4 linked regions of the Saccharomyces cerevisiae S288C genome follow. The gene in region 1 interacts genetically with each later gene. Each region holds a gene or a part of one and is shown in the gene's direction. Other genes may lie near its edges. The genes, in order: SIR1, DOT1, SAS2 and RAP1.

Region 1 (6,282 bases):
ATTTTTGGGAAACGTTAAGATCCTTGGCTACTACGAATCCAAATCCTCCAGTTGAAAAGTCAGCTGAAAATGATGGTGCCAAGCCTCAAGTGGTACATCAAGGGATTGGCTCACATACAGAAGATAGCAGCCTAGGTTCCCATAGCGGAGGATACGATTTTTTTAACGAACTGTTGGATAAAAAGGCAGATACACTGCATAATGAGGCTAAGAAGACGAGCGAGCATGATATGACGTCAGGAGGTTCTACCGATAATGGGTCAGTCCTGCCACTGAATCCTAGTTGAGAAGGCAAGGCCGAAAAAAAACACAAATCTTTCAATTGTTTAACATATTAGTTTTGTAATAAGCATAAGTGTATATTATACATAGCACAAGATGGATAATATTCTCTGAAAAAAACGTGTAGTTTCATGACTCGCATTTTTTTTTTTTTTTCTTTCATGTTGATTAACATACTTGAATTCTGTATTTAAGCTGTATAAAAAGTTGTTCTATTTCATATACGGCGATTTTGCATAATTAAGAACTTTGCCTTGTACACTATTTTACTAGGGTATTCTTCCAAGATTTCTCTTCTTATTTTTTCCCTTTATAAGTCATTGTAGCAACATAATTTCCTGGAAATTTTAAGGGAATATATTTCTTTCCGCCCACAAACACAAAGGGCGTTTAGTAAATTATGCGGCGATGTATAAAAGAGAAAGCAGGCAAAAAGAAAATGAAAAATGAGACTATGAACTTTAAGAATTATGTCTTGACTAATTTTTTAAAACCCATCATCCATGAAGAGTTCTGTTTGTATTGTTTACGTTTGATGTTTGAAGTGAATTTAATAGAATTGTTCCTCTTTTTTTCTTCTTTTTTTAACTATAATATAATGTTTAGTATATCAACAGTACTATTTAGGCCTTAGACTTTCTATGAACTCTCTCTTACTCTGTGAGTAGTTGGTAAATTCGTTTTCGTATTGATCTTCCTCAGCAATTTCCCCGATATTGCCCACATCATAGTTATTCTGTAATTTGTATAAATCCTTATCTTTATCTGTTATTGCAGACCTGCTATCCTTTACCGAGTGGTCAGCATCCATTCCTTCGTTATCTTTATCAAAAGTGTTTGGTAACTGTGATTGAGCCGCACTTTTGGGTGTTGCAAACACATCCTCTAGGGCATCGCGCTTATTTACCGATGTTATAGAGGAATTCCTTGTATGGAAGGACGCGTTTGAAATGTTACCATTTAAAAACGAGGATGAAGCTCTCCTTGGGTAATACGAACCAAAGTCCTGATTCTGCAAATTTCTTATCAGATTTTCATTACTAGATTGGCGAGTATTATGTTTAAGTTCTATCATCGAAGCTTTGTTTTGGTCATTGCTAGTATTAGTATCACTGGAAGGATCTGCGAAAAAGTTTGGTCCTTCATCAGAAATAACAGGGACCATCTGATCATAAACGCTGATCTGTCTCTTTGTTATATGCCGTTGGGAAGATGATAAGGAAACATTGGAGCTGTTATTTATACTTGGTAAATCCACAACGGACTTCTGCCTGGCATTATTGCCGTAGTTATTATTTCGTACTTGAAGTAAATTTATTTTCCTACGGTATGCTGGCACATAGTATTTACTATTCTTTTTCCCTAACGGTTTCTCTTGATCTCGCGATTTTCCATCTTTTTCTTCTGGATGAGCAGATCCTTCCGATGAACCAGAAGTGTGATCAGGATTTTTTAGCTCGGAGCTGGCTAGTGCTGCTTCATCTTTACTGTCTCTTAAGGGTCCAAAATTGTCAAAGGACACGAAACCACTTTCATCATAAATAGCCCTTTCCAATTCTCTATCGTCTTGTTCCTCCCTCTTGTATCTTTTTTGTAGGTTAAACCAGAAACATACTGCTATTATAATACCTACACCGACGGGTATACCCACCGCACAACCCACCGCAACTGATGTGCTGGCAGTCATCTCTTTTACTTCTTACTACGATGAGCTCCCAAAAAAAAAATATATCCCTGATAAATAACACAAAACTAAGAAGCCGGACCTAGGTGAAGAGTAAAATAAGGACTCGAAATTTTGTCTAATACTCAATAACTCAGTACAAAAACTGCCTCACAGTATAAAATATCCAACTTAGAGATATTCGTTTTAATTGTCCCGAGCAGGCAAACGATAACTGATCCTTAGTCACAATAATAAGTCTATGCTTTCTGTTGAAAAAGAACAAATAGCGAGCGAGTCAGCAAGCAGAATCTAAAGAGGCTTGCAACGAATGGTAGGCAAAGAATTTCTAACCCGAAACCTCAAGCGAATGGTGGATTCCTTACTTCCAATCTTCTAAAAGTCTTTAACTCTGATTTCGAGGATCAGTACTTTTTCTATGGTTTATTAATATCGGCCTCGAAAAGTTTGTCGCGAGAATTTGGGCACATGTGACCCGGAATGTATATTGAGTAATATAAGAATGAGAACAATAATGTCAATAATCACACGTCGTTATAAGCAGCTGAAAAATTATAAGATAATATCAAAAAAAATGCTACAGATCAACTCCAGGCTTGCAGTTATTGATGGATGGCTGGTAGACACTGTGAAGCGAAAACCAATAAATTTTCGGAGTCCTGAAGTAAGATTACTGTTACCCAATGACGATGACTACAAAAAGCTATCACAACAAAACTTGGTGGACTGGACGCGATTAAAGAAGGATTCTAATTCGGTGCTCGTTGGAGTGAAATCTATGGAACTATTTAAACACATAAAGCTAGTTTTGCGAGAGTTTTTCTTGTTAGAAGATGGAAGAATAATTCTGAAGAGGATCAGAAGCAAATTACGTTACAAAGTTGTCAAGAAATTAACTTGTAAATGCTGCAGGTTATATTTACCAAAATGGGGCACCGTGTACATACATCCGATGCTAAAAGATAAAGAAAAGCCCTTAGCGGGGGTATGTGAATTTTCATTGGATGTAAACCCTGATCGGGAGTATCCCCTTATTGAGATCAATGTTAGTCATCAATACATTATAATTGAGGGCTTCCTTCTATACTTAAATGAAAGGAGGCTCTATAGGTGGAACGATAACAATTTGAGGAGTCAGGTTGGCTTAACAAAATGGGCCCATTTAAGAAAAACTTACAATCCGGTAAGCCTTGACATACTTTATAGTTTGAATTCAAATTTTTATTTTGTAAAGGATGATCTGCTATTTCAATTATTAGGAAAGAGGGTATTTGTTAAATTTTGTAAAGTAATGGAAAATGGAAAATGCGGTAAGGCTCCACTGTGGTATCGTGTGAAGAGAACGACAACTGCCAAAGCAACACATATTGCATATGCCATATCAAATTCAACAGCCCCAGATTCATTCAAAAGTAAAAATAACGATTATAGGTTTATTGTCAGGGAAAAGCCAATTGTGGAGAATACTATCTCCAACCTGGATTATTCAGACATAAAAAAACAGCAGTTTACTGAAGCAGAGGTTGTAAAAAGAAAGATCTCAGCAGATATTTCTCAAATAGAGAATGTGCATACGCAATTTAATAGTCAAAAGGAAAAAAATAATATCAGGGTGAATAAGGTTTCTAGCGAGGTCCTAGATCAAATTTCGAAATTTCCTGTGTCCAGAGTCACCTTACTGTTGATGTCTGCTGGTCAAGATAAAAATTATATTGAACTTGTTGAAGAATTGGCAAGAAGGTTGGAAAAAATATGCATAGAAAAAACCACACAATCTTTAGAAGAGATAAGGGATACTTTTCAGGCGAATCCTGAGATGCAGGCTAGCTTTGATAAGGAATATTACCAGAGCATTGAAGAATATAAAATTACACTCGAACTTATTAAGGAAGACCTTTTGATTACTCTGATAAAACAAATGGAAAATATGTGGGCAGCTGAAAAAAAGTTTAGTACAGAGGAGGAGTATGTTTCGCCGAGGTTTTTAGTAGCAGATGGATTTCTAATCGACCTAGCAGAGGAAAAACCGATTAACCCAAAGGATCCGCGCTTACTGACACTGCTAAAAGATCATCAGCGTGCCATGATTGACCAAATGAATTTAGTTAAGTGGAATGACTTCAAAAAATATCAAGATCCTATCCCGCTGAAAGCCAAAACCTTATTTAAATTTTGTAAACAAATAAAGAAAAAATTCCTACGAGGTGCGGACTTCAAGTTACATACATTACCTACAGAAGCAAATTTAAAGTATGAGCCGGAGCGGATGACAGTTTTGTGTTCCTGTGTCCCTATTCTTTTGGATGACCAAACTGTCCAATATCTGTATGATGACAGCATTATTCCTGAATTTGAAGCAACATCTTCATATGCAACAAAGCAGTCAAAGTGTGGGCGGAAAATGTCTTTGCAAATGGAGCCTGACCTCCTTTTTCAAGAGGCCATTAGACGGATGCGACATTTAACTGCTTATGACGTTTTGAGAAGAAACTATATTGCGGCATTTGAGGAGCTATATATGGGAAACTGTAACGATTAAATAGTTGGTAAGATTATCAGTTATGGATACCAACATATAAGCGGGTGATGTCTCATTTCAATGAGGTCAGATAACTGGTACAGTTTCGCCTTTAATACACTTGTTTGACAGAAACTTGTTTTTAATTGCTTGATTAGCTAAGTAACTCGAGCCGTACTGTAGTACCGTTAAATATATATTATGTAGGACTTAGTAGAATATACTAATAATAGATACTGCAATTGATGATCCCAATTACTGTTTTATTGACTAACTTTCACTGAAATGTTTTCATTCTCTGATTTTATATTTAGTTGGCGAACTAGCTCATCCTAATTATAATTAAACTTATATATAGCATAAACCGACAATAATGCGTGGGTGGTCCTCCATGCCGAATTTGTGAACTGAATTATTATCTAAGCACTGGATCGATCACCTTAAGATGATATATTATTTATAACTAAAACGCAGCAGCATTACACTCCAGAGTAACTCCTGAATTTCGTCATGGCATGTACTTATACTATATAACCAACAAAGGATGACTGAATAAGAACCAAATACTTTTCAAGAGATAAGATACGCGTTGCCATTGTTCGCAAGGCAGATCAAGAAGCTTCCTAGGCCTGTGAAAAAAGGAGGAAAAAAGAAATGAATTTTCTAGCTGTATTTAGATTGGATTTGAGGTTCACTAGTATAAGCAACAGCTCCAGTTCTTTAGTCAAGTGCCAGCTTCCCTTGAAATATTAACCTCCCTTTTTTCTTCGTAAACCACTATTATGACCATCGGCCTGTTAATAAGGAGAAAAATAGAAAACTGAAGCAATAGCGGTATCATAAAGCTGACCGTGTAAAGTCACCACTAACCTCCCAATAAACTCTTCCAACTCTGTTTTTTTCAAAGCTAGTGGTGCATTTGAACGCTATTTAGGATTCCGATCTCTTCAGAAACATGCTGATTTAGAAGTAGTCAAATTACTTATAGGCGTGAATTTCGAAATTGATCTCTTAAGCAGAATTTAGTTGTATCAAACTATATTCGTTTTGGAGCGCATATACTTTACATTTCGATGCGTTTAACGTTGCCTCTGTTCTTTTCCTATTAATTCTATTAGATAAGTTTATTTCCATCTCATATAAAGAAGAACCTGTCGAGGTTATATGATCTCTTTTCCGTCTTTTTACCGATTCTGGTTAGTGTATGCTTCATTTGAGTTTCTTGCACTGCTTTGCCGACCAAATATGGAAATCATCTATTTTAACTCTATTATTGAAGAGGCTTTTCCTGGCACATATAAATATGAATATAAATGTTGTGCGGCTGTAATATTTGGCTAGAATTACCAGCCTGATTGCGGGTTATATATTGCCTTCTTTTGGACATTTACTCCCGGTGTAATGTTGGCAGCAGTAGTACCTATACCTGTGTGCCACCCGTTTGGATATTACTATAACTTCAAAATATGGGAGGATTACTTTCTCGAAAGTTGCTAAAAAAATCATTCGGGAATTTTCGCTACAGATTAATCAAATGTAGCTCGACAGTCTTCATATTATGAGTTTAAAAGTTCTTTAATATTCTTGTACATCTCAATTGTTATGTCAACCAATTACCAGTTAAAAAGAGAGAAATTTTATGAGTTATTAGATGATTATGCGGTGCAGAACATTGAGGTTCCTCGTGATAATGATAATACGCACAGTTAGAGAGCAAGTTAGAAAGCAGATTAGAGAGGGACAAGAAAGATAATATCTTCAGTTCTGTAAGGCTACTTTTAAACCAAATGAGCCAGAA
Region 2 (6,076 bases), on another chromosome or scaffold:
AGAAAAGAAAACTCACAAAGCAGCGAATTGCCACGTTACCCAACTCAGATGAAGAATTGAGTAATAATTTAAATGTTGACGAGTTTGTATGAGTAACAGCTATCTACGTCCCTGCCCTTCCCTCTCTCTTTTACATACCAACAGTTTAGCATTTTTTTTTATATAAATTACCATAAATACTGCCTCAGGCCGCTCAGCTTATATTTTCAAGTCTCTCCATTTGGCTGTTTGAGGTACCCAATTGTTGTATTCTTGATACGGCTGTTTCAACTATTCACATAATAAGTGTAGTCTAGTCTCTTCGATGAGCCTTTTATGCACCAAGGGAAATTAAATGAATTTCTACCAAACCTTATTCATTTTGAATTATGTAGCTCTGACATTTTGTTGTTTTCCTTGCGTGCCCAATGTTGCCAGCGTAAAAGTTATCGTAAACGTTATCGTAAACGTTATCCCCGTTTTGTAAACTTTATTGTCTTCGTAAAAAATAGAAACCAACACTTAAAATTGGTCCCATAAAAAATTGAGTCAGTTCCTTCATCGTGGTACAGTCAGAGTATTCTAAATTAATTAATTTACTGATAATTTAATAACATGAAGAAGAAAGATTGGATATTGAAGTTATCCACCAGGCACATATAACGCTCTAAATAATATTTGGATGTTGCACTAAAGTCCACGATGAAGAATAAAAAGCATCACTTGATCGTTCAATGAGCCAATCTTGGAAATTTTGACACCTCTATTAACCAGAACATCCAGCTTGTTGAGAACTGTTGGGATAATTCAGAAATGTAACTTTGAAACTCAAATAACTCAAGGAACGGGAGTCTTTCAAGATTTTGGAATAATTTGACCACTTTGTTTTTAAACAATTCGAGTGAAGGCCATGCGCTTCTTGTAAGCTTTGTTAATGAATCTATCTTTTAGTTAAAAACATTTCTTTCTTTATCCAATTGAATTATGCCATTCGATATTAAATACGACAACAGGAACACTGAAGAACGGGATACTCCCCCCCCCCCTTGTGAATGTGCTACAATAAACAGAATATCGCCACCCGGTCACTTCTTCTCTCCAATTCTTACTAAATTAGCGATAAATTCTACCCTTTCCATAACTGGCCGTTCTTCTGCAAGAGAATTTTTCCTACTTGAATAGGCATACTTGAATCTGAAAAGTAGTCATAGATAGTGAAGTCTGCTTTATTAATAAAATTCCAGGATGTACTCTTGGAGATCGAATCAAGTTCCTAGAAATCCTTTGAGAAAGAAGCGGTGAATACCCGTAGGTAGGATTTTTTCACGTAATTAAACCGCCTTATCTTATTTGTTGCCAGAAAACTAGAGGATGGAATAAACATATTCCCTAATGGTGTGGCATTTACCTGTCTGTCTAGTTTCTGTTAGTGCATTCCAATGTCAGCTGCTTCGCTACATTGTTTCCAATGAAAGCTTGTATTTTCAGAGTCGAAAGCGTCGTCGCCTCTTTTTATGGATGAAAGAGCTCTGGCATGAATTTTCTCTGTAGTGAAAAAATGTTACGGCTAAAGACCGTAGAGTGACTTTCTTTGTTTTTCTGTTCTTGAATTTAGACACTTACTTCACAATAGTATAACAAGCCAGAAACTAAGTAATGATTTACGTGCCATTTTTTTTAGCAATATATGCATAATCCTGCTGACGCCTTCGCACGCGTCAATGAAAAGGGACATTGAAAAATCGACCGGTAAGTGCTTTCAATGAGATAAACATAATTCGAATATAGGGCATCTCGTCGTCTTAATTGCCTTGAAAAATAACTGAGGTCCTCATCAAGGAGGTCACCAGTAATTGTGCGCTTTGGTTACATTTTGTTGTACAGTAATGGGCGGTCAAGAAAGTATATCAAATAATAACTCAGACTCATTCATTATGTCGTCCCCCAACTTAGACTCTCAGGAATCTTCAATATCACCTATTGATGAGAAGAAAGGCACCGATATGCAAACCAAGTCGCTTTCAAGCTATTCTAAAGGTACGCTTCTCTCTAAGCAAGTACAAAATTTATTAGAAGAAGCTAATAAATACGATCCAATATATGGGTCATCTTTACCTCGAGGATTTTTAAGAGATAGAAACACCAAGGGTAAGGATAATGGGTTGGTTCCGCTGGTGGAGAAGGTTATACCTCCCATTCACAAGAAAACCAATAATAGAAACACAAGGAAGAAGTCATCTACCACCACGAAGAAGGATGTAAAGAAGCCAAAAGCTGCAAAAGTAAAAGGAAAAAATGGCAGGACTAACCATAAACATACCCCAATTTCAAAGCAAGAAATAGATACTGCACGAGAAAAAAAGCCATTGAAAAAAGGTCGGGCAAACAAGAAGAATGATCGCGATAGTCCTTCATCAACATTTGTTGATTGGAATGGCCCGTGTCTACGGTTACAATATCCATTATTTGACATAGAGTACTTAAGATCACATGAAATATATTCTGGAACTCCTATACAATCCATTAGTTTAAGAACAAATTCTCCACAGCCAACGAGCTTGACATCAGATAACGACACTTCCTCAGTAACGACAGCAAAGTTGCAGAGTATTTTATTTTCAAATTATATGGAAGAGTACAAAGTCGACTTCAAAAGGTCAACAGCCATTTATAATCCAATGAGTGAAATTGGTAAATTAATTGAATACAGCTGCCTGGTCTTTTTACCTTCACCTTATGCTGAACAATTGAAGGAAACTATACTACCGGACCTAAATGCATCATTTGATAACTCTGACACGAAAGGTTTCGTGAATGCTATAAATTTATACAACAAAATGATTCGTGAAATTCCTAGGCAAAGAATAATTGACCATTTAGAAACAATTGATAAAATTCCTCGTTCATTCATTCATGACTTCTTGCATATCGTCTATACCAGGAGTATCCATCCGCAGGCGAATAAATTGAAACATTACAAAGCATTCAGCAATTATGTTTATGGAGAACTTTTGCCCAATTTCCTATCTGATGTATATCAACAATGCCAGTTGAAGAAGGGTGACACTTTCATGGATCTCGGTTCGGGAGTAGGTAATTGCGTAGTACAAGCTGCGTTGGAATGTGGATGTGCATTAAGCTTCGGATGTGAAATCATGGATGATGCTAGCGATTTAACTATACTGCAGTACGAGGAACTAAAGAAGAGGTGTAAGTTATATGGGATGCGTTTGAACAACGTGGAGTTTTCATTGAAGAAAAGCTTTGTGGACAATAACAGGGTCGCTGAACTAATTCCTCAGTGCGATGTTATCCTCGTAAATAATTTTTTATTTGATGAAGATTTGAATAAAAAAGTCGAAAAGATACTACAAACGGCAAAAGTTGGATGTAAGATCATAAGTTTGAAAAGTTTAAGAAGCCTCACTTATCAGATCAACTTCTACAATGTTGAGAACATCTTCAATAGATTAAAGGTGCAAAGGTATGATCTTAAGGAGGATAGTGTTTCATGGACGCATAGTGGCGGAGAGTATTATATATCAACAGTGATGGAGGATGTGGACGAAAGTTTATTCAGCCCTGCTGCAAGAGGTAGGAGGAACAGAGGTACGCCGGTGAAGTATACCAGATGAGGCACTTTGAACGGCTTTTAACGATGAGTATGAATAACTAAGTAGAAATAACATGTACACAAGTGTAACTTATAAAAATCAAAAAATAAAAAAATAGAAAGGGAGAGAATAAGAGTAGGTAATAATATGAATTAAAAGAAGGATAAGGCGCCGTGGACCAGGTACCTAAAAAGTAAAGTACCAGTTTATATTAACAAAAGAAGTTCAAGCTAAAAAGTAGCAATATGCGAAGGAAAGGAAAATAATTGAAGGAGGAGGCAGAGAACAAATTTAAATCAGGAGTGCAATATGGAAAAAATAGGAGCAGATAATTTCTCCTCACCATGTAGACTATCTAACACTAGCACAAAGTCATATTCCAGAATATGAGCACCCACTTGTCTGATAAGGTCGCCCGCAGCATATGCCGTTCCACCGGTGGCGAGAACATCATCCACGACAACCACGTTGGAATCAAAGGGAATGGCTTCAACCTGCATTTCAAAAATTTCTTCATGGTCTAATTTTGTGAATGTTATAGAAGCACACTCACCCGGCAATTTTCCAACTCTCCTTATTGGAACAAATCCAACTCCCAATGCCAGTGCTAGGGATGGCCCAAATAGAAGGCCTCTAGCTTCTATACCTGCAATAAAGTCGATCTTTTCTTTGCCGAACTTTTCTTCTAAATGCGTCTTGAACGTGTGTACCAACTTTTGGAATAGCGTGGGGTTGCCAATAATAGGTAAAAAATCCTCAAATTGCTCACCCTCTATGGGAAAGTCAGTGAACTGCCTAAATGCAGTTTTTATTTCCTTTGCGTAAGATTCAGAAATAGACATAATGAGAGGCGGACAGGCAATGAACAGGCATATACACACGCACTCTCTTTTTTTAAGGAGCGAAAATTATCTGAACGATTGGTATGAACGGGTGCAAAATTTACTTTAACACCCAAAAAGTATATGCGTATATATATATATTTATCCTTGTTATTTTTGTAAATTGAGCTATGCAACATAAGATTCCTGCGATGTAAGAACTACTTGCTAATCAAGAGAACTTCAACAATTTTCCATCGCAGAGACGAAAAAACTGGAAAAAAATAAAAAGAAAAAATTGAAAAAGAATCGCGACTTCCGATTACATAACCTTATACGGAGTATGATACCATTCTTGACATCATCAACACACCATCGCAGACCCACGTGGCCGCTTCGTGTGCCTTGAAAATACAGCCTTAAACGCAATCTCATTCGCGTTCTGTGGAAATTGTCTCGGACTACACGCTGGGCGTGCATCACCAGTGAAAATGCCGTACCGCCCCGCTTCCGGTTTTGTTTTTATAAATCCGACTGGAGAAATAGACTTCTGGGTTTACACCCCGGAATAATACTAAAACCAAAACTGGTAAATAGGGCTACAGATGAGCAGGAAAACGTTGCCGGAAAAAGTTTATTTATCCGAGAGAATAATTGATGAAGAAGTAGCGGTATGCACAGTAGCGGCGGAAGTATTAGCAATTTTTACTCTGGTGTGCACAAGAGTGTTCATCATTTTTTTCACGGCTAGGATATGCCATGGAATATGGCCATCTTCGCCATCAGAGAGACCGTACCACACGTTTAGAGCAGCCAGGTTGCGAAACTCTTCTAAGATGGTTTCCAGCAATTGTGTACTATCAGAATGTGGACAGTTTAAAAGGTTGACTGCGAATTTGTCCCAAACCGTATCACCGTCGCATTTTTTGAATTTGATCAAAGCACCACTCCTAATAGCACAGCGATGCTGTGAGTGTGCCAGTGGGAACGGGTGCTGAAATACTATTCCATGGATGTCCTGGTCTATATCCCTTATTTCATAGTCGTATAATCTGGTCATATCCATGCGTCCTCCAAACCTAGTGTCTTTGTAGATCGGCTTGAAACTAGGGTACAATTTGTCCTCATCTATGAAGGAGATTTTAGAGTTGTCATCCACACACACCACAGCAAGATGTATATTCCTACCAGAAAGTCTCCTCCAATTCATCAATTCATCATCCGGCAGTATGCCATTCAATCTAGTTAAAATTAGACATATTTTTCCGAATTTTTTAGACGCTAAATTTAGGGCGATATTCCATATTTGATTACATGCGTCGTCAAATTTTCCTCTGGAATTCCCGACGTACCACGTTTTCGTCATGCTGCCTTGTCCATAGCTATCTGAAAGAGCTGCAAAAACCCACTCTTTATCTACACTACGCGAGTATGCCAGGTGGATGTACGAGTCATAATATATTATAGAAGATGATCCTGTACTGTTATTCTGCTGCTGCTGTTGCTGTTGCTGTTGCTGTTGCATTTGCTGTTGCTGCATGGTTCTGAAATTCACTTTCTCCGGCAGCGTATGCGCAATGTGGGTGAACTTTACAGATTTTGGCGGCAGCATGTTATATATAGAAATTGCTACGTTGACGTACTGATCCACTGTCACCAGTA
Region 3 (5,082 bases), on another chromosome or scaffold:
AACAGCAGACGAATATAAACGGTAACAATGGCCTGGTCCAGTACGACCTGCTCTACCGCTTCTTTGATTGGCACTAGCTTTACTTACCCAGCCCACTTCAAAACTCTGTACGCCATTTGATTCATTATATTTACGCTCTTTAGACCTCCCGGAATCAACAACATATCTAACTCCAGGTATAGTTAACGATGTTTCTGCAACATTTGTTGCAACAATACAAAGCCTAGAACCTTGAGGAGGTTTTTGAAAGACTCTCATTTGTTCCTTGGTTGGTAATAGAGAATACAGTGGAAGGACATATAAAGGATCGTTAGCTGTTTGCCCTTCAGTTAGGACTTCTTCAAACCCTTCTTCCTCTTCGTCTTCCTCATCTTCACCGTTTCCACTGTTACCTTCATCTTCTTCGTATCTTATCGCGCTCTTGAACTTATCTTGATCGATAACTTGTACACTGAAGTCTATATCCTCAGCCTCCAAATCTGTTGTTTTTGAATTGATACCCATTTTAGAAACGGGTGTTTCTAAATCTTTGTTGTACTTGGAGTTTTTCTTAAAAGGAAATTCCTTTCTTAGCCTTTTTACCATGTGTGTAATTTCCTGCTGACCGGTTAAAAACACCAATATAGCGCCAGGAGGAAGTTTCTGGTGAATTTTGCAAGTCTTTCTGAAAGCCTCGTCTGTATAGTTGAATGCAGTTCTACGATTAAAGTGAATAGAGACTGGAAACTGCCTTGCATCAACCTGTAAGACAGGGGGCGCTATGGGGAACAATGTTTTGTTTTCGCTGAAATCTGATACCCTTAATGTAGCTGACATGATGATGAGTTTTAGCTTCTTGTGCTCGATCGGGTTCTCCTTATGTAGTTTAGCTCTTAACCGAACACAACGGCTAAGCATACCGATCAAAATATCAGTGTTAATGTTTCTTTCATGTGCTTCATCTATGATAATGGAGGAATATTTAGTCAACTTGAAATCGTGCATCATTTCTCGTAGCAAGACACCATCTGTCATAAACTTGACCTTTGTGTCCTCCTTTGCGGTAGAGTCAAACCTAATTTGGTATCCTACTTTATGACCATGGTCCCCCAATTCATTAGCTACACGTTCAGCCATGGACACAGCGGCCACTCTTCTTGGTTGAGTGATACCCACCATTCCTGGGTAATCTGGAGAATCTTCGGCACCAAACCCAGCCTCATATAAAAATTGTGGGACTTGTGTAGTCTTACCTGACCCCGTTTCACCACAAATAATCACTACATCATTATGGTGAATAGCCTCCATAATTTTGTGTTCTTCACCAAATACTGGTAGTTGAATTCTTGCTTTCTGAATTTCATCTGATCTGCTAACTTCAACATAGAAGGCTTTACGGGTGGAATTCTCGTTTATTGGAACATAAGCTTCTTGGAGACCATCATCTAAATCTTCCTTTCTAATTATCGGTTTATAATCGATGTTCAAAGTGGGAGTAACTAGCTCTTGATCTCTACCTTCCAATTTTTTTATTTCTTGATTGGCCCAATCCTTGAATTCGTTAGCAACATCATTTTGGTCAAATTTTTCTGAGCCAGTTTCACTATCTGCGCTTTCAACTTCTTCGAGTGGGTTTTCACTAGGATGCATTTTGTCTTCTTCTTCCTGATCCTCCTCTTCGTCATCATCTTCAGATGTCGTGTCGAAATCCATTTCATCTTCTTTCCCATGCTTCTTCAATTCTTCCATTTCTACTCGTTGTCTCCAATTATATTTCTTCTTCGGAGTTTTGCTTTCTTTGTTTATGACTTTTATATTGCTAAACCCAAAGCTAAGACCAGATCCACCAAATTTTGCTGGTCTATGATCAATAAAACCTGATGATTTCTTCTCCTCATTGTCCGTTGGTTTCGGCATACTACCAAATGAAGCCTCGAAATCATCTTCGCCGTCATCATCCTCAGAGCTCCCTCCTTCACCATACTCATCCCAAACTTTTGGTTCATATTCTTCGTATAATATTTCATTTGTTTGTTCATTTCCTCTTCCTTGACGTTCTAAACTCAGTGCTTCTTTGAATTCTTCCTTTTTAGTCTGCCTGCCCTCTCCTAACCTTTTAGAGCTTGTCAACAAACTTGTATCTATCTTATAATCTTGAAGTTTACCAATAATTGTCTTTCTTTCCTCTCTTTTTAATTGATGTTCAATAAATTTATCCAGTCTTTTCTTCTTCAATCTCGAAACTTTCGATTCCTTTGGGGTAAATAACTCCTGTAGTTTTCTTTTCTTCATTTTCTTTTCTTCTTCAGTGAGAGGTTCAAGAATTTCCGCATTGGCATTTGGCTCCGTAGTAGAACTCTCAGCGGGAGCTGAATCTGGGTTTTCTACTCTTTCATCGTTTTCATCCTGTCTAGTGAACTGCTTATTCCTAATTCTTTTCAGTTCTTTTAATTTGGCCATATGGCCGGATCTGGCTTTTTCATTAAACCTTTTTCTGTAAGTACCCATACTTATATTTCTTAAGACACTCTATTATTAGTATTGGGTTGTAATTGCATTTTTATAGCATATAGCACTTGCTATTAACAATAATATACTAATACTATAATGAGCTTTCAATACTCAGCTCATCGCCAATGAAAATTTTCGGAACACCCAATCATCATGATATGTTAGGCGCGTAAATATGAAGAATAACAGAATCGTTAATCAGAAGAGATGATGAAATCATTAAGTCTTGTCCATATCGAACTGGATAGAGTATGTAGCGCTCTAAGAATCTGTTAAATTGAAGTTTGATTTTTTGATATTGGAGGCTCCTATTTTCTAGTTGCTTTTTGTTTTCACTCGCAAAAAAAATGGCAAGATCTTTAAGTCAATCACTCACAGCGACTACCCAGAAGCTAAAAGGAAAGAAGAATGGTGGAAAAGGCAAGAATAAGCCCTCAGCAAAAATTAAAAAAACTCAAAAAGAGATGCTATATGGAATACTGAACGAAAGGAACATAAGACAGATTCAGTTTGGACTGAATAAAAAATTCTCTACTTGGTATGGGAGCGCCGTTTATTTCGATCCTGAAACAAAAAGGCTAGGGTGCTCCGAGACCAAGGGTCAGCTTTCCTCTGTTTCTAACAGCCAATACTGGCTAGACACTCTTTTCGTTTGTGAATACTGCTTCAAATACACGGATGATCAGACGCGGTTTGTAGGACATGTTGCAAGTTGTCCATTTCAATATCGTGTTCCAGGCAAAATAAAATACAAGAGTCCTGAATATACAATAAGAAGAGTAAAAGGATCCAAGTATCAACTCTTTTGCCAATGTCTTTGTCTTTTCACTAAGCTATATCTGGACAATAAATCCATGTATTTCAAAGTAGATCATTATGAATTTTACATAGTTTATGAAACTGGATCAACAAAGCCGATGGGATTCTTTTCGAAAGATTTAGTGTCATATCAGCAAAATAATCTAGCGTGCATCTTGATATTTCCCCCATATCAACGACGTGGATTAGGCCTTTTACTTATCGAGTTTTCATACAAACTATCCCAATTAGAAGGTGTAATATCAGGGCCAGAAGTACCGTTATCACCTTTTGGACTAATCGGGTACTTGAAATATTGGTCACAGATACTCTGTTGGCACCTTATTGAAGGTGACCTCGCCCATTATGATAAAGTGACCCTGGAGGATCTTTCCATCGTGACTGGAATGAGAGTCAATGATGTTATTTTGACCTTGAAGCACTTGAACTGTATTGGGGAGAATAACCAAATTTACTTGCAGTCATTGAATAGCTGGTTGAAACTACATGGAACAAAACGGAATTGGTTCAAATTAAAAGATGAATATTTGCTGATAGATGACTAGGAATCTATTCAGGATGTAACTTAATGGCATATGTATTTCAGGATAGAATATCGCTCGATGAATTCCTGTACAGACAACTACAAACGGACGAATTTTGTCTGACCAAGTTAAGAACAGAGAACTAATGCATAAAATTTGTTTTGCTGCAAAAGTTTCCCTTTTTTTAGAGTATAAATATCTTTTATAGCAAAAGACTTAAAACAGGTTCACGTTTTTATTAGCCGTTTTTGGGCCGGTTTTTCGATGACGAACAAGGACCAAACAAATACAGCATCAAAACAAATTCTAGAATAAGAAGGCAGAAAGGGTAAGGGCATAAAGGAAACCTTCTTTTGTGGTGATGTTGAACTGGGTTTAGCCAAAATTACAACACATATTAAAGTTTTGTTATTTTGCGATAAAGTTATTGCTCTTGAGCATCAAAGAAAGTGGGAGGTTAAACAGAGGAAAACACATTGAAATTTATTCAAAAAAAGATACCGCTATACAACTTTGGCCTGATACTATCTATAGACACGAGTGTCCATACTTAGCAGTAGATGTCCGGATTCGCAAAACTCAAGTCGTGGTTATACAAAGCTTCCCTTTTCGTTTCTTTGATACTTTTGATTGGGTTTTCAGTTGTTTTACCCATAGATTCCATTGCACAAGCTTCTAAATCAGAAAACAATGCCTTTAATACGTTCATTGTTGTAGGCGCTTTAGTTGTCTTTGGCGTTTTTTGTATCTTTATTATTATTGGAAGAATGCTATTTCATAAGAGTTGTTTAAAAGATATACCAAGAAGATATATTCCGATCACACCTGCTGATCTCCCGCATCGTTCTAGTAGGGAAGCAGTACTGCAGAACATGGAAAGATCTAAAGAATTAACAATTCTTCTCAAAAAACCTAAAGACCCTGTTATTCACGACGGACTTGAGCCCCCGAGGAGATGTGACTACCCATTAGATGAAAAGTTATTTCCAGAATACCTAAACTATGCTGATTGTATAAAAAGTTTAACAGATAGACTGAAATACCATGGATTGTTTCTGAACAATTTAGATGTTAGAATGAATCTAGAAGATACGTTTGCCGACGTGGTGAACTCACAATTTGTTAATCACAACGCCAATAAAATTCAGTTAGAAAAGGCGAAGGAGTTTATCGATTTATATGAAACAATTAGATTTTCAGGGAAGGACGTTACTAGAGACCAGTTCATAAAGTTTGTTAAGTTTTGTCT
Region 4 (6,817 bases), on another chromosome or scaffold:
GTTCTCATCAAAATTCAATATTGCGTAACGGACTTATTGTTGCATTTTCAAGTAAATAAGCCGGGTCAGGATGCCCGCCGTAGATAGTAAAAAGTAGGTATAACATGCGCAAGAGCAAAACGGATTTGACAACATATCCAAGTGATAAGTGGTCGTTTAGATACATCATATACTATAACGGTTTGATATTGAGAGCCCAGTTAAAATTAACATCTGTTTTTTGTTTTTTAATTGACATTCAATCATCGGTTGCTTTCCTTGTGAAACTGTACGCGTTGTCTTAAACGAAACGTGTTTTAAGGTAGGTCATCGACAGGTAAAAAATAGCTTATTAGCAGAAGAACGCTAGCGGTAAGATCTGAAACAGGATCGCACAGTCTCAATGAGTAACAAGAGGACATCTGTAGAACAGCTCATATCATGCCCAATTTGCTCTAGAAAAGTCTTTTTTTCCTTAATCAACTCTCATCTTGACATATGTGGCAAGGAAAAGTCAAAGCCTTCGAGTAGGCCACAAACGGTGTCAAGTCTTTTGGCAGGCCCAAAAAAGAGGAAACAAGCTAACTCAGAGAAATTCATTGATCTTGAAAATAAGGACCATGAAATTAAGCCAGGTCTTAAGAGCGAGAGTGATGATATTGAGATTGTTGAAAATGAAAGCAAAAGATTTAAGGCAGCACCATCCACGGATTTTGCGAAATCAATAGTGGAGCCTGCTTCGAGCAGAGATCAACTTCACAACGATTACGAAAGCAGATGGTTGCAGAAAATAAGCCATTTGCCACTTAGTGAAAAATTGAGGCCAAAAGAATTAAGAGATTATGTAGGTCAGCAGCACATTCTCTCTCAAGATAATGGTACATTGTTCAAATACATAAAACAAGGGACTATACCATCTATGATACTCTGGGGCCCTCCAGGTGTAGGAAAGACTTCACTAGCTAGACTATTAACGAAAACTGCGACAACCAGTAGTAATGAATCAAATGTTGGTTCCAGGTACTTCATGATCGAAACAAGTGCGACAAAGGCAAATACGCAAGAATTGAGAGGTATATTTGAAAAATCAAAAAAGGAATATCAATTGACCAAAAGAAGAACTGTACTTTTTATTGATGAAATTCACAGATTCAATAAAGTTCAACAGGATTTGTTATTGCCACACGTAGAAAACGGTGACATTATTTTGATTGGTGCAACGACAGAAAATCCAAGTTTTCAGCTGAACAATGCTCTCATTAGCAGATGTCTGATTTTTGTCCTAGAAAAGCTGAATGTCAACGAACTGTGTATTGTTTTATCAAGAGGAATTGCATTATTGAATAAATGCAGGAAACAAGTATGGAATATTGAAAATCCTTTGAAATTGTCTAGAAGCATACTGGAGTACGTGGTAGATCTGTCGGTGGGTGATACAAGGAGGGCGTTAAATATGTTGGAAATGATCGAAGTTTCAACAAGAGAGCGCAAGGCCGACGAGGAAGAATTATCTATCGATGATGTACGAGACATAATTAAGAACAACAGCAGCAACGGGTTGAATACATACTATGACCCAAAGGGAGATAACCATTATGATACAATCTCTGCGTTTCATAAATCCATTAGAGGTGGGGACGAAAACGCCTCACTGTACTATTTAGCAAGAATGTTGCAGGGAGGAGAGGACCCATTGTATGTTGCCCGAAGAATGATTCGAATAGCTTCTGAAGATATCGGATTACGGGATAGTTCATTATTGCCCTTGGCTGTCGCGGCACATGACGCAGTAATGAAAGTTGGTTTGCCAGAGGCAGACCTTGCACTGGCGCAATGTTGTGTTGCTTTGGCTAGGGCACCAAAGTCAGTAGAACTATATAGAGCTTGGAAGAAATTAAGGGCAATGATGAGCGAGAACATGTACAGTTTAGCAAGCAGTGAGATACCGATGCATATCAGAAATGCGCCAACCAAATTGATGGAGGAGCTGGGTTATCATAAAGGCTACAAGTACAATCCCGATTATATTGAAGGAAAAGTCCAACAAGACTACTTTCCCAAAGAAGTGCTCGAGAAATGTCCAAATAAAACTGACTTAAAGTTCCTGGACGGCAAACATTTAGGAGACAAAGAAGATCCTGACTTGAGACAGTCATATCAGGGTTAGTCAAGGGTCTTCCATACTTCTCTCAATGCCGCGTCTACAATTCATATTTTTTTCTCTGTTGGCCAATGCCGCTTGTTTTTTTACGCTTGAGGCGCATTGCATTGCTGGCACGTTTTTGTGCAGCATGAACGATATAAACTATAATTTTAGATAATCAAGGATCCACCTTTTTTTTTCATGCTAGAAAAGTCTCGCGGGCCCATCTGAGATATATTAGAACATATACGCATCCTATAAGAAGAGCACATTATTCTTGAATTAGTTCTTCCTTTTCCTCGACCTTCCAGCTTGTAAAATGAGCCAGGCTTGAGGAGCATAGATACGCAAAAATGGAAGATAAGCGGAAAAGACGAGCCGCTACACTTAGTACAGCATTGATATTATTTGTGGCATGCTGCGTTTATACACTATATATATTCAAGTTTGATAACCCTCGGTTGTCTCCACCAGTTTCCTTATTGCCTACAATTAGCACCTTGAAGAAAATTGAGCATGTAACAGATTTAAATAAGGAGTACGTTTTTGTTGGTGACGTTCATGGTAACTATGATGAGTTCATAGAACTCATTGATGACAAGATTGGAGGACTAGGAGAAAATATAACAATGATATTGCTGGGTGACTTTATTCACAAGGGCCCGGACTCAGACAAGGTCGTGTCGTATATTCTAAATCACAAGGATCAAGTCAAGTGCGTTTTGGGCAATCATGAAATATTGGTCATGATGGCCTATTTAAACCCAGACTTCTCGAAATGGGTAAGACGCCCCAAATTAATGACACCTTTAACTTTCAGTACGGAGACTAATTTCATACCACAAGACATCTCTAAAATCAGCAACGCACATGGACGGTTAGCTCGCGAACTTGGGTTTTCCAAATTAAGTCAGCTAGCGGAACATTGTTCTATGGCCATAGAACTAGATCTGGATATTACCGGTGATATACTCTTTGGTGCACATGCAGGGATGGTTCCGGGAGACTTCATGAAGCCCAACCAAATTCCGGGCGTGAGCTCTCTGTCAAACATGAAGTACGTTGATAAGAAGAACTGGTCAAAAACATCACGTGAAAAGGAAAACAAGAATTATGTGAGATGGTACACACTGTGGGACAAATACGGAGACCACTTTAGTAACGCCAAAGTATTTTACGGGCACGATGCATCCATGGGACTAAACCTACGGAGACAGACCAAAGGTTTGGACACAGCATGTATAAAGAACAATCTGCTTTCATCTATGAAAGTGAAGTACGATATTAAGAAGGGGCAATATGACTATGAATTAATTCAAGTACAATGCTCTTAAAACAAAAAGTACTACTTAAAAGCGCAACAGATTTTATATAATGTACTATATGAAAAAGATATGAATATTATTATGTAACTCATAATACTGAATCTTAAATTTCAATGAAACTTTCGCTGGAGCTACAAGTATTCTTGCCCAATGGCCGCTACCCGCCTCTTCTTCGTTGTTGAAGTTTTAAAATTTAGCGAGAAAAGAAAACAAAACCGAAAACAGACAACCGCAATCATTTCTTCAACACCCAACATCCAGCACCTAAACACCATCAATACACGTTTTAAACAAAACAAACCCATAGCCCAAAAGGTAGTAAACACAAACCGTTGTATACGCAACCGCCCTACATAAGACACTATTTGCGTACAGATTATCTCAATATGTCTAGTCCAGATGATTTTGAAACTGCACCAGCAGAATATGTTGATGCATTGGATCCGAGTATGGTCGTTGTTGACAGTGGTTCTGCTGCAGTCACAGCGCCATCGGATTCAGCCGCTGAGGTAAAAGCTAATCAAAACGAAGAAAACACTGGTGCTACTGCTGCTGAAACTAGTGAGAAAGTGGATCAGACGGAGGTCGAAAAGAAAGATGATGATGATACCACTGAAGTCGGTGTAACAACTACCACGCCTTCCATTGCTGATACTGCTGCTACCGCTAACATTGCTTCGACATCAGGTGCATCTGTTACTGAACCTACTACTGATGACACCGCTGCTGATGAGAAAAAGGAACAAGTAAGTGGTCCTCCTCTGTCAAATATGAAATTCTATCTTAATCGCGACGCGGATGCGCATGACTCTTTAAATGATATTGATCAATTAGCGCGTCTGATTAGAGCAAACGGTGGTGAAGTGCTAGACTCCAAGCCAAGAGAATCAAAAGAGAATGTTTTCATCGTGTCACCCTATAATCATACCAATTTACCAACGGTAACTCCGACTTATATTAAGGCATGTTGTCAAAGCAACTCGCTACTGAACATGGAAAATTATTTAGTACCATACGATAACTTTAGAGAAGTTGTCGATAGTAGGTTGCAGGAGGAATCGCATTCTAATGGTGTAGATAATAGCAATAGCAATAGCGATAACAAGGATTCTATCAGGCCCAAAACAGAAATAATCTCTACGAATACTAATGGCGCTACGGAAGACTCAACCAGCGAAAAAGTTATGGTAGACGCTGAACAACAAGCTAGATTACAAGAGCAAGCTCAGCTCCTTCGTCAACATGTAAGCAGCACCGCATCAATCACAAGCGGAGGGCACAATGACTTGGTCCAGATCGAACAACCTCAAAAAGATACCTCCAATAATAATAATAGCAACGTCAACGACGAAGACAATGATCTTTTGACACAGGACAACAACCCTCAAACAGCAGATGAGGGGAATGCATCTTTTCAAGCACAAAGGTCCATGATTTCGAGAGGCGCTTTGCCCTCCCACAATAAAGCTTCTTTTACAGATGAGGAAGATGAGTTTATTTTGGATGTTGTGAGAAAAAATCCAACCAGGCGTACAACACATACTCTTTACGATGAAATATCCCATTATGTGCCTAACCACACGGGTAATTCTATTAGGCACCGATTTAGAGTCTATCTTTCCAAAAGACTAGAGTACGTTTATGAGGTTGACAAGTTTGGTAAATTGGTTAGAGACGACGATGGAAATCTGATAAAGACTAAAGTTTTGCCACCATCAATTAAAAGGAAATTTTCAGCAGATGAAGATTACACTTTGGCAATCGCGGTCAAGAAGCAGTTTTATCGTGATTTGTTTCAAATCGACCCTGATACTGGAAGATCACTTATCACAGATGAGGATACACCCACTGCTATAGCGAGGAGGAATATGACAATGGATCCAAATCATGTGCCAGGGAGTGAACCCAACTTTGCAGCTTACAGAACCCAAAGCCGTAGGGGACCGATTGCACGAGAATTTTTCAAGCATTTTGCCGAAGAGCATGCAGCACATACTGAGAATGCTTGGAGAGATAGGTTTAGGAAGTTTCTTCTCGCTTACGGCATTGATGATTATATTAGTTATTATGAAGCTGAAAAAGCTCAGAATAGAGAGCCGGAACCGATGAAGAACCTCACCAATAGACCCAAGAGGCCTGGCGTTCCCACTCCTGGCAATTATAACTCTGCCGCCAAGAGGGCAAGAAATTATAGTTCTCAAAGAAATGTTCAGCCTACTGCCAATGCAGCGTCCGCTAATGCTGCTGCCGCTGCTGCTGCCGCTGCTTCCAACTCTTACGCTATACCAGAAAACGAATTACTGGACGAAGATACCATGAATTTCATTTCCAGTTTAAAGAATGATCTATCCAATATTTCAAATAGTTTGCCCTTTGAGTATCCACACGAGATTGCGGAAGCTATAAGAAGCGATTTTTCGAATGAAGATATATATGATAATATTGATCCTGATACCATAAGCTTTCCACCAAAAATTGCAACAACAGATCTTTTCCTGCCATTGTTCTTTCATTTTGGCAGTACGAGACAATTTATGGATAAACTTCATGAAGTTATTTCAGGAGATTATGAGCCATCACAGGCTGAAAAACTGGTACAGGATCTTTGCGATGAAACTGGTATACGTAAAAATTTCAGTACGAGCATATTGACGTGTTTATCCGGGGATCTGATGGTCTTTCCTCGCTATTTCTTGAACATGTTTAAGGACAATGTTAATCCTCCTCCCAACGTTCCTGGTATTTGGACACATGATGACGACGAATCGCTAAAAAGCAATGATCAAGAACAAATAAGGAAACTGGTTAAAAAGCATGGAACTGGTAGAATGGAAATGAGGAAAAGATTTTTTGAGAAGGACCTGTTATGAGTAATTGAATTAAGTAACATCATTGTTTAACTTATTTTACTCCTTTATTTCACTGATTCACGTTTTCTACTTTGTTTTTCAGTTCAATGTATAATTTATGTAAACTTTTACGTATTTTAATTTTCAAAATTCTTACAATGATTAAGGCGGAACAGTTTTATAGAATCCCATTAGCAAAAAAGAGAGAAGAAAAGGAGGAAAGTATAACGCAGAACGAAGATTCTCATTTTTAACGTGTCTTTTCTTCAAGGATAAAACGCCTAACTAGCAAATAACTGGCGATTAGCAGACTACAATGGACAGTGAAGCAAGTGACATTGAGGCAGAGTTATCCGACAGCGTCTCAGCTGGTGGGGAAGAATACATTGACGATGATGATTATACGGAAGATATTGACGATCAGATAGTCACAGCCAAATCATCTAGAAGAACAGCACGTAGGAGTGTACCTAAGGGTGTAAGAACCTCAAAACGCATTAGAGATAAAGAACTTTCTGTGG

What was found.
Region 2: mutations in SIR1 (region 1) and DOT1 impair growth when combined (synthetic growth defect), as found in Saccharomyces cerevisiae (3 studies listed by BioGRID, with this or other methods).
Region 3: of SIR1 (region 1) and SAS2, changing one enhances a phenotype caused by changing the other (phenotypic enhancement), as found in Saccharomyces cerevisiae (6 studies listed by BioGRID, with this or other methods).
Region 4: of SIR1 (region 1) and RAP1, a mutation in one rescues a mutant of the other (synthetic rescue), as found in Saccharomyces cerevisiae (2 studies listed by BioGRID, with this or other methods).

The regions. Positions count from the first base shown.
Region 1 is NC_001143.9:638,000-644,281, forward strand, and holds SIR1 (Sir1p), read left to right. Parts: upstream 1-2,540; coding exon 2,541-4,505; downstream 4,506-6,282. Other genes in the region: BAS1 (Bas1p), read left to right, coding at 1-287; SKG1 (Skg1p), read right to left, coding at 902-1,969. UniProt on the Saccharomyces cerevisiae protein: Involved in the establishment, but not the maintenance, of heterochromatic silencing at the cryptic mating-type loci HMR and HML.
Region 2 is NC_001136.10:1,340,628-1,346,703, forward strand, and holds DOT1 (histone methyltransferase DOT1), read left to right. Parts: upstream 1-1,865; coding exon 1,866-3,614; downstream 3,615-6,076. Other genes in the region: LRS4 (Lrs4p), read left to right, coding at 1-92; adenine phosphoribosyltransferase APT2, read right to left, coding at 3,890-4,435; SSN2 (Ssn2p), read right to left, coding at 5,049-6,076. UniProt on the Saccharomyces cerevisiae protein: Histone methyltransferase that specifically trimethylates histone H3 to form H3K79me3.
Region 3 is NC_001145.3:521,101-526,182, reverse strand, and holds SAS2 (histone acetyltransferase), read left to right. Parts: upstream 1-2,837; coding exon 2,838-3,854; downstream 3,855-5,082. Other genes in the region: ATP-dependent RNA helicase ECM16, read right to left, coding at 1-2,487; DLT1 (Dlt1p), read left to right, coding at 4,394-5,082. UniProt on the Saccharomyces cerevisiae protein: Histone acetyltransferase (HAT) subunit of the SAS complex, a multiprotein complex that acetylates 'Lys-16' of histone H4 and 'Lys-14' of histone H3. The SAS complex is however unable to acetylate nucleosomal histones.
Region 4 is NC_001146.8:237,856-244,672, forward strand, and holds RAP1 (DNA-binding transcription factor RAP1), read left to right. Parts: upstream 1-3,833; coding exon 3,834-6,317; downstream 6,318-6,817. Other genes in the region: ssDNA-dependent ATPase MGS1, read left to right, coding at 383-2,146; PPN2 (putative serine/threonine-protein phosphatase), read left to right, coding at 2,476-3,456; IES2 (Ies2p), read left to right, coding at 6,613-6,817. UniProt on the Saccharomyces cerevisiae protein: Essential regulatory protein in yeast whose DNA-binding sites are found at three types of chromosomal elements: promoters, silencers, and telomeres.